2 linked regions of the Daphnia pulex genome follow. The protein of the gene in region 2 purifies or fractionates together with the protein of the main gene of each other region. This does not show direct contact. Links are inferred from orthologs where the notes say so. Each region holds a gene or a part of one and is shown on either strand. Other genes may lie near its edges.

The links. The genes of interacting proteins can lie anywhere in the genome.
Region 1: the proteins of potassium voltage-gated channel protein Shaker-like (region 2) and protein quiver-like purify together in Drosophila melanogaster (affinity purification with western blotting, with the first as the bait; 3 studies listed by BioGRID). This does not show direct contact. The link is inferred for Daphnia pulex from reciprocal best matches to the Drosophila melanogaster genes Sh and qvr.

What each region holds. Positions count from the first base shown.
Region 1 is NC_060028.1:9,728,247-9,732,331, reverse strand, and holds protein quiver-like, read right to left. Parts: upstream 2,811-4,085; 5' UTR 2,217-2,810; coding exon 2,162-2,216; intron 1,726-2,161; coding exon 1,681-1,725; intron 1,616-1,680; coding exon 1,463-1,615; intron 1,385-1,462; coding exon 1,170-1,384; 3' UTR 593-1,169; downstream 1-592. Other genes in the region: carnosine N-methyltransferase-like, read left to right, coding at 3,119-3,201, 3,264-3,462, 3,533-3,693, 3,763-3,903, 3,962-4,085.
Region 2 is NC_060026.1:6,145,345-6,149,504, forward strand, and holds the start of potassium voltage-gated channel protein Shaker-like, read left to right. Parts: upstream 1-1,210; 5' UTR 1,211-1,838; coding exon 1,839-1,951; intron 1,952-4,160.

The DNA of each region.
Region 1 (4,085 bases), on a different chromosome or scaffold from region 2:
CAAGATTACAAATTTGGTGTGGGGTTATTATTGTTTTTTTTTTCTCTTTCCCAATTATGTTTGTGTGTAGTATTTCCCCACGGCTCCTCCATCATCAGAAAAAAAAGGACAATTTTTCTTTTTCGTAGTAGAATTTCATTCCTCTATTTACCCCACCTTTTTTTTTTTAATTTTTAAAAAAATAATGCGCGTGAGTGTTCTTTTTTTTTGTTAAACAAAAATCGCCTCCACCCCCCTTATCTCTCCAAAATTTTATTATTATAATTAATTTTCGTGGCATTTTGTGTGTAATTTGATTTTTTTTTTATTATTTTTTTAAAATTTCCTCCTTCGATCTTTTTTCAGCCTCACTTCATTTATTCAAATATCCTTCCCTCTCCCCTTCTTTTTTTTTAACTGCCGTGTTTATTATTATTAATTTTTTTTTTGGAAGGAAGATTTTTATTTATTGATATAATCCGCGATGTCTCTCTCTCTCTCTCTCATTTCTTCGAAACAAAACAAAAAAGAGAAAAAGAAAAAATCACTTGAATTAATTTGAGGCATCATTACTTACGTCTAGGCGATCGGAGAGGAATTAAGAACAACCAGGTTGATGACGTTAGCATGTATTTGGATGACGTGCCAGTTAAAATTCGGCATTTAAACGGCTAAACAACAAGGATGAAAAGAGAGATTTGAAAAATGGACAAAAAAGATTATTGACTGGATCCATTATTAACAATGGCTGCAAGGGATAACAAATCAAAGGATAGTGAATCATTCAGCTGCTGTGTGTAAACCGCCGTTCATCATCAAAAGTGGATTTGTGTGTTGACTGACAACATTTTCTCTACAGTTTGGAGGGGTTTTTATTTTCTTATCAAAAATGAGAATTGAGAGAGTTTTGAGGGGGTAGCCGACGATGACGCACACACACACAGCATAGCCATTTTTTCCGGAATTGTATGTCATCCCATTTGTCTGGATTTTTGAGCACTTAAGGCTTGATTTTTTTTTTCATTTTTTCGTGATGTTATTAGATGGCCAGGGTTGACTTATTGTGCGTGGTATTTTTCTTTGCATTCAAATTATTAATATTATTACATTGTTCATTTAAAAAGGGAGTGGGTGTGACTTAGTGCAAACAAAATGAATTGTTTTATATATTCCCGAAAAAAGCCAAAAAATCATCCGACCCGGAGTAGAAGGTGGACAGCAGCGACGAGGCCCAAATAAGCCCAGAAGAGATCGCGATGCCTTGAGATCGCCGAATTGCAAAAATCTTCCTCGCAGAAGCAAGTCATCCCCTTGCGTTTGTTACCTTCTTTCAGACAGACGTGATCGACGATGAAATAATTGACAATCAGCTGCTCCGTACACATCCGCCTCACGCGTTCCTTGGCTGAGTTTTGATTATTTTTTAAACAAATTATCATTTTCTGAATTTTGTTCAATTATTTTGATTATTAAAGTAACGTACGTGAGTAGCGATGTTCGACGATTTTAACACAACATCCTTTACAAGTTTTGAAAGGTGGGTGTTCGTGCATTGGAGCCGATTCATTGATATGTTTACAAAGCGGATTGTGGTAACTGTCGCAATCGTAGCACAAAATCGTCCGGCCGGATCGGTCTGTTTCACAAAGTTAAATTAAATTTATTTTTTAAAAATGTGTAAAATTTGTTAATAAATGATACTTATGCACTCCTCTTCGGCCGAGATGATGTTGGCCTGCAGACAAACTAAAAGAACAAAAGAGAATGAAATCCACCACGACTTGATGGATTTTTCAATCATCTCGACATTCCCCGAATAAAATTCCGGCCAATAACTTAATTTTTAAAATAATAATGCTGGCAAGGATCGTATTTTTCACGTCACGTGATAACCACAGCACCAGCCGAAAATTTTCCCCTTTCGTGAAAGCAAAAATTACAAAAAGGGAGAAAACAGGTCGTGAGTCCTTGCGAACCGCTCCTATTTATAGGCCCCTGTCCCAACTCGCTAGGAGACTAGGAGGCGCGCGCATCATCAAAAATGCTCGTGTTTATATATAGAGCTCAATTGGCGATCATCAATTTGATCACATCTTCTATAGGGGGAAGATGCAGTGAAAAGTCTCTTTAAAAAATGCTGGCTGGCCAGGATCGAAAAACAACTAAAAAGAAAACGGCAAACCCAAAGTGATGGAGAAGAAGACGGAAAGGAACCCAATCAAATTGCGATCCTGCATCGTTTGGTGTGAGCAGAAAATGCGGTCGAAGAAAAAATCCCACACACACACACATACACACACACACGGATTTTTCTTGTTTTACATGTCACAAAGGGAGAGGAGACTGCAGCACAGCAACTCGCGCGATTCTACGACATCCAAAATAACCAGCACGAATGTGTGTGTGTGTTATGTGGTTGCACCGACGGGACGACACTTCATGATTGCATCACAGACGCTCAAATACAAAGAAAATAATTCTTGTTGTTTGTTTCTCACAATGCTCTCTGCTGTTGTTTAGATGCGACTTTGTGTCTTTGTAACACACACACACACTCGTTGGTTTGTTTATGTATAGTTTTACACTGTAGATCTATCAAGACTATATAACGGCTCTATACCTGACTCAAGAGTCAAAAGCTCCGCAATGCATCAAACGCAGCCGGGACACTGCAGTCGACAAGCCCCGGCTGCAGAGAGTGCCAGAGTGCGTGTTTTACAACGGCTAAAACGTATTGAATCGATGTCGAGCGACTTCGCGTTCTGCAGCAGTTTCGTACGCGTCCTTATTCCATTGCGCATGGCAAATCTCCGAGTGTGTGTCCGGCTAATATATAACCCCTCTAGAGATCCCGTGTCACACTTGTCAATTTTTTAAATAAATGCCAATGACGAGATAATCGTGTTCTCCATTTTGATTTATTTTCTGATTTTAAAAAATAAAATAAAAATGCGATAAAAAAACATGCAGACAATAAAATGACGATGTGACAACGTTGAGCATATTTTTTGACTGCTCTTTGGAAATTTACTTGAAAAGGTTGAAAAACTTTTTAAATAGATGAGGAATAACAGAGTTTCTTGGTTGAATTTTTAGATATTTATTGTCATAATAACACGAATAGGATAGGTCATCGTTCATGATGGGGAACAACGGACCTACTGACGATGTCGAAGAGAAAGAACACTTTCAGAGAATCGTTAACGCTTTCCGTTATTACAGGTTCGATCGACGGTTTCGGCTACAGTGGTTTATTATTCGCGGTTGACATGTTTTTATCCCAGGTCTTTTTCGTTGCAACGCTTGGCCACTTCAGAAGCTTACGTCTCGTCTCTCCCCAGCCACCATCAAACTTTACTCACTAGCTATCGTTCTCACTTGGAAGACATTAGGACTTGTGTAGAGCACAACTACGAAATCATCAAACTTATCACGGCAGATGTTGCTACGCTGTTTGAAAATGTCAAACACGATGCTGGTCAAGTATGTTTTCCTTAAAATAAATAATTTTGCTTTGATTTATTTCTTTTGCCGAATGTTTGATGTTACGCAGGTCAAGTCCAAGGTTCACCCAACCATGAGTGATATGGAAAAGGTCCAATCTACACTGAAACAAATTGTAAGGGACTGGAGTAAAGATGGGGAGGAAGAAAGGTCTGCGTGCTATAACCCCATTATTGAAGAAATTGAATTAAACTTTCCACCTGCTCAGAGGTTACTATCATATTATTACAGTCTTTTAGCTGAAACAAGTTTTTCATTAATAATTATTTCCATTTGCAGGCCCTCGGAACAAGTACAAATTTTGGTTCCCGGTGCTGGACTTGGACGACTGGCGTTTGAGATAGCCAAAAGAGGTTACAGCTGTCAAGGCAATGAGTTCAGTCTCTTCATGCTGTTCGCCTCCAACTTCGTCTTGAACAAGTAGGGATGATCAACAGGATCTTTATGCATTTTGTGTTTACGCTTTTTTCCCTCTTAGATGTCAGGGGGTCGAGACTTTTCGTGTTTATCCATGGACGCAACAGTTCGTCAATACTTTATCAGCTGCTGACGTAACCAGAGGGTCTTCCTTCCCTGATCTTGATCCATCATCACTCCCACGC
Region 2 (4,160 bases):
TAATCTGTCAGCTGTGCCAAAAGAAAAACACATTTTTCAGATGTCATATAAATGGTAAGAACACCAGACAATCACTTTGCATTAAATGATGACATGCAGTCTTTCAAGCATTCCACCACATATATGTAAATATTAAATGTTGCTTGTACTTTATCAAATTAAGAAAAAAATTATTTTCACAATTAAATTGAGTAAAACCTATAATTGGAATTAGTTAACCGACATATCGTAAATTCAGAATGAATCTGTGATGTTCATGCATGCCTTATTTGATAGATAGAATTATGATGTAGCCTAAAACTTGATAGCAGTTTGGTGGGAATATTCAAAAATTTGAGCTGCATTCTGATTCAACACATTAAACCCCCTAACGGTGATTTTTTTTTCTATTTCTACAATATAAATGGAGCAGAGTCTGCTTAGGAGGCAACAGACAACTATCTAGGTTGCATCATGGGTTGCATATATTCCGAAAACCAAACGTCCTTTGACATTGACAAACCTATCCAACTCTCGGTGCAGCCAAGTCGTGCATATCACTGTTTTTTTTTTCTATTTTACAGCTTGATAGTTGATACGATACAAGAGAGGAAGCAAAAAGAAGTGAATGCCAAAAATATGCACAGGTCACAGATTCTCACCATTGGCATCGTCATTGCCCTGTAGTCTGCAGGAATTCTCCTTCCGGGGGCTACTCTAAATTGTAATAACTGTCTGCTGATTTCCTCATACAAATTCGATTACCTAATTTACTACTAAGAATTCATTAAAAAGTTTATTTATTGTATTCAATTTTGAATTTGCTCAGTTTTTATGTAGAACTACTCACTACCCCTGGATGATTAGCCAGGGAGTCAGGGACTGCTGTCAGAACCACTGTACCGTTATTTTATTGTTTTATTTTTTTCACTTCCTTAGACTTTGAGTATACATCGTGCAATGCCCTTATATCAGTTAAGGATAACTTGTAGAAATATAATTTCCTTTGTTAATACGATTCTTCCCAGTTCCTACCTACGCATCTAACAATCGAAAATTTCTGTTTGGATGGCGCAGAAGATGCCTCTAGAACTAGGAGAAAAAGCTACAGTTTCTTATGAAGATGGCGTTTATGAATAGCTCGCTAGGGGGTGAGGGTGGGGGCGGGGTGGGGTCGGGATCGTCCACCAGAGAAAAAAAAAACAATTGCGGGATTTTTATTAAAAGTCAGATTTTTTCGATAAGTTGGAGAAAAAATTTCGTTATCGTTGTTGCAAAAGTTGCTATAGAATATAGATTTATCGATATCGATGTTTATTTCCTCCAATCGAAAAAATACCACCAAATGACTTACAAAAAAATAGAAATAAAACATACTTCTTTGTTTTTTTCTTATCTAGTATCTAGCTCTATATAGACTCCGCCATACCTTAGAGCCATTCCAACTCGTGCAGCTGATTAAAGAGATTTGAAAATCGTTGAACAAGAAGAAACGAAAAGGGTTTCGTTAGTCGGTTGTTGGCAGCTGTAGACGGGAGAAGTGTTTTCATTTCCTACCCGGTGCGTTAGCAATAGACTTGTGGACTTTCTATTGTTAGATTTTTTTTTTCAAATTGCTTCATGACATACCGATTTTTCACGAATCAAATTTGTTACCTTAATTTCGTCACCATTGATTTGTTTAAATCTTTTTCTTCGATTCAATGGTCTACAATGGTGTGGTGTTTCATTGTGCGGTTAGTTTTCAATGCCGAATAGGCGTGAGTGTTATGGACTTCGATCAACCTTTCGCCTTATTAAAAGGCGCAAAGACGTGTTGAAATATTAAACAGATCAATCTACAGGTCATTCTCATCATCATGTGGCAAAGTGGCGGTATGGGCGGAAGCGCCCAAGGTGCCAAAGTTCCAACGTCGGAAAATCCAATAACAAAGATGTTAGCAGGCCTAATATGTCGACGGGCGAGTGAAAGGTAAAAGGTTTCACTTAATCATTTTAAATTTGCGTTCCTGTTTAAATGATCAAATGAAGATGTTAACCTACTCATAGCTTAGTTAGGAAACTATAAAATTTTTTAACACTATAGCTGTATAATACAAAGTGATATGTGTGATAAGTCAATTAAATTATGTCTGCAATCAGAAATTTACCATATATTTCTCCTCTCCTTCTGACAACAACACGACAAACACAAGGAAAATGAAAAATCAATAACGTCCATAGTGTTTCATAAATGATACTTATGGTTTAATAAGTAACCCGTAGATAACAGTTCAACTGCATTCTTGAAAAAAGTGCAAAACAATGCCTAATGAAAACAAAACAAAGTTGTGACCTGAAGAGTGCAAATAAACTATTGAATCATTGAGTTCCTTAATCTGTTCCAGGGACAAAAAGTATTGCTTTAATCATAGGTTATATCTAGATTCAGTCATTCGTTTCTGGGTGACTTTTTGGTAGACTTCCCGCCTGTCCCATGTGTGTGCGTTTAAACGCGTGGTTATGTCCTCGGTTCTTCTCGCCTCCACCTTCCAGTGCAACTGCTAATTTTAGGACTGTCTCTGAAATACTCGTATCCTTTTTTTGGCTTGCGAACAGATTCAGAGGTACGGTACGAAAACTACAAGGTCCCGAAAAAAGATCGAGCACGCACGCAGACAAGAAATAAAAAAAGAGAGAACCAGATAGCAAGGTTTCAACAGGAAAAACAATCACGCTCATTTTTCCTTTTCTATTCGTACATACAGCCTTTACTCTTGTCACTTTTAAATGAGTTAGATTAGCTAGGCATAGAGAGAATTTCGTGTATTAAGAACCCAAGAATTCAGTGTATAAACCTCACCATAGTTAAAATCTTTCCATCATTTGGATACCGTTGTTTCCATTAATAGACGCTATGCTTAAAGGGAAACATTGATTGCGTTTCTCTACTCTACACTGTATAGCCTATTTATATCACCATATTAACAAAGGTCGGGCAAGTGCAGTATGCGTCTCATAAATAAAATCGAAGGAATTTTATATTTGCTTCGGCAATATAGACGAAACAAATCTGATATGACTGACAACCGCATCATTTAATATTATGTAAAACACAACCGTAGCTGGATTATTTTGCTAGAATTCCTAACATGGGGCACTCTTTCTGTTACTATGTTTTGCAAGGCTGCCAGCTTTAAGTCTATGTTCAGTCAGATGTTGGTTGTCCTGACTACAATCTATACATCCGACTTTTTCCAATTTTGTAACTTGAACCGTGCAGCGAAAGAATTTTTATGCAAAAATACAACTCTGCGTTTTCATTCAAGATTTTTTTCAGCTTCAAAATTAGCCCACTGTTGAGGCTTGGCTGTTGACTACGGTTGACTACCTGAAAACTTATTTCTACTCTGATATACAGCCTTATCTACAGTAGCGTTATTCCCTTAAAGAATCACATCGATCAAAAACTGTCTTCAGCTTCTTCATGGAATTCAAACGAATAAAAAAGGAAGAAAAACAAAATAATTATAAATCGGGTTATCGACTTGTTATTTGGGTGTACGAATAAAAAATAAAAAATAAATGTATTTTAAATAATTTTTTTTATTTTTTATTTTTGGACTAAAATATAGGGGTTTAAAATGTTTTTTAGTTGTCCGCGGTAGGGTTTAAGAAGTAATCCTTATTTTTTCATTAATGTTGCTGGTCAGCACTCGATTGCCAACAAGATTGATAATAAACAAATCAATTGGGACAACACTTAGTTTTTCTTTTACAAATTCCAAAAATTCTTGGAAAATTTTGTGGAAAATCTTGAAAAAACCCAAAAAGCTAAATTTTTGAATTGAATTTTCGTTTTTTCTTAAATATTTTTCCCATTTTTATTTTTAAATTTTCCGCATTTTTTTTTTTTTTTTTTAACTAAAAATATGGGGGGTGTACGAATATTTTTCGAGTTGACAACTTCCCGTTATAAATATTTTATATCGAACCTATATTGACAAAAAAAAGGGACATCGGAAAACAAGATGCTAGAACAATTATATAGTGTGTGCTGGCTTTTTGTTTTTTAATTCAATATTACAGTATAAAGTAGAAAAATGGAAAAAAAATCAAATCGGATGAAATAAACAGCAAAAAATGAGACAGAAATAAGAAAGAGGAAGAAATATAAATGGATTAATTAATTTTTAGAAAAA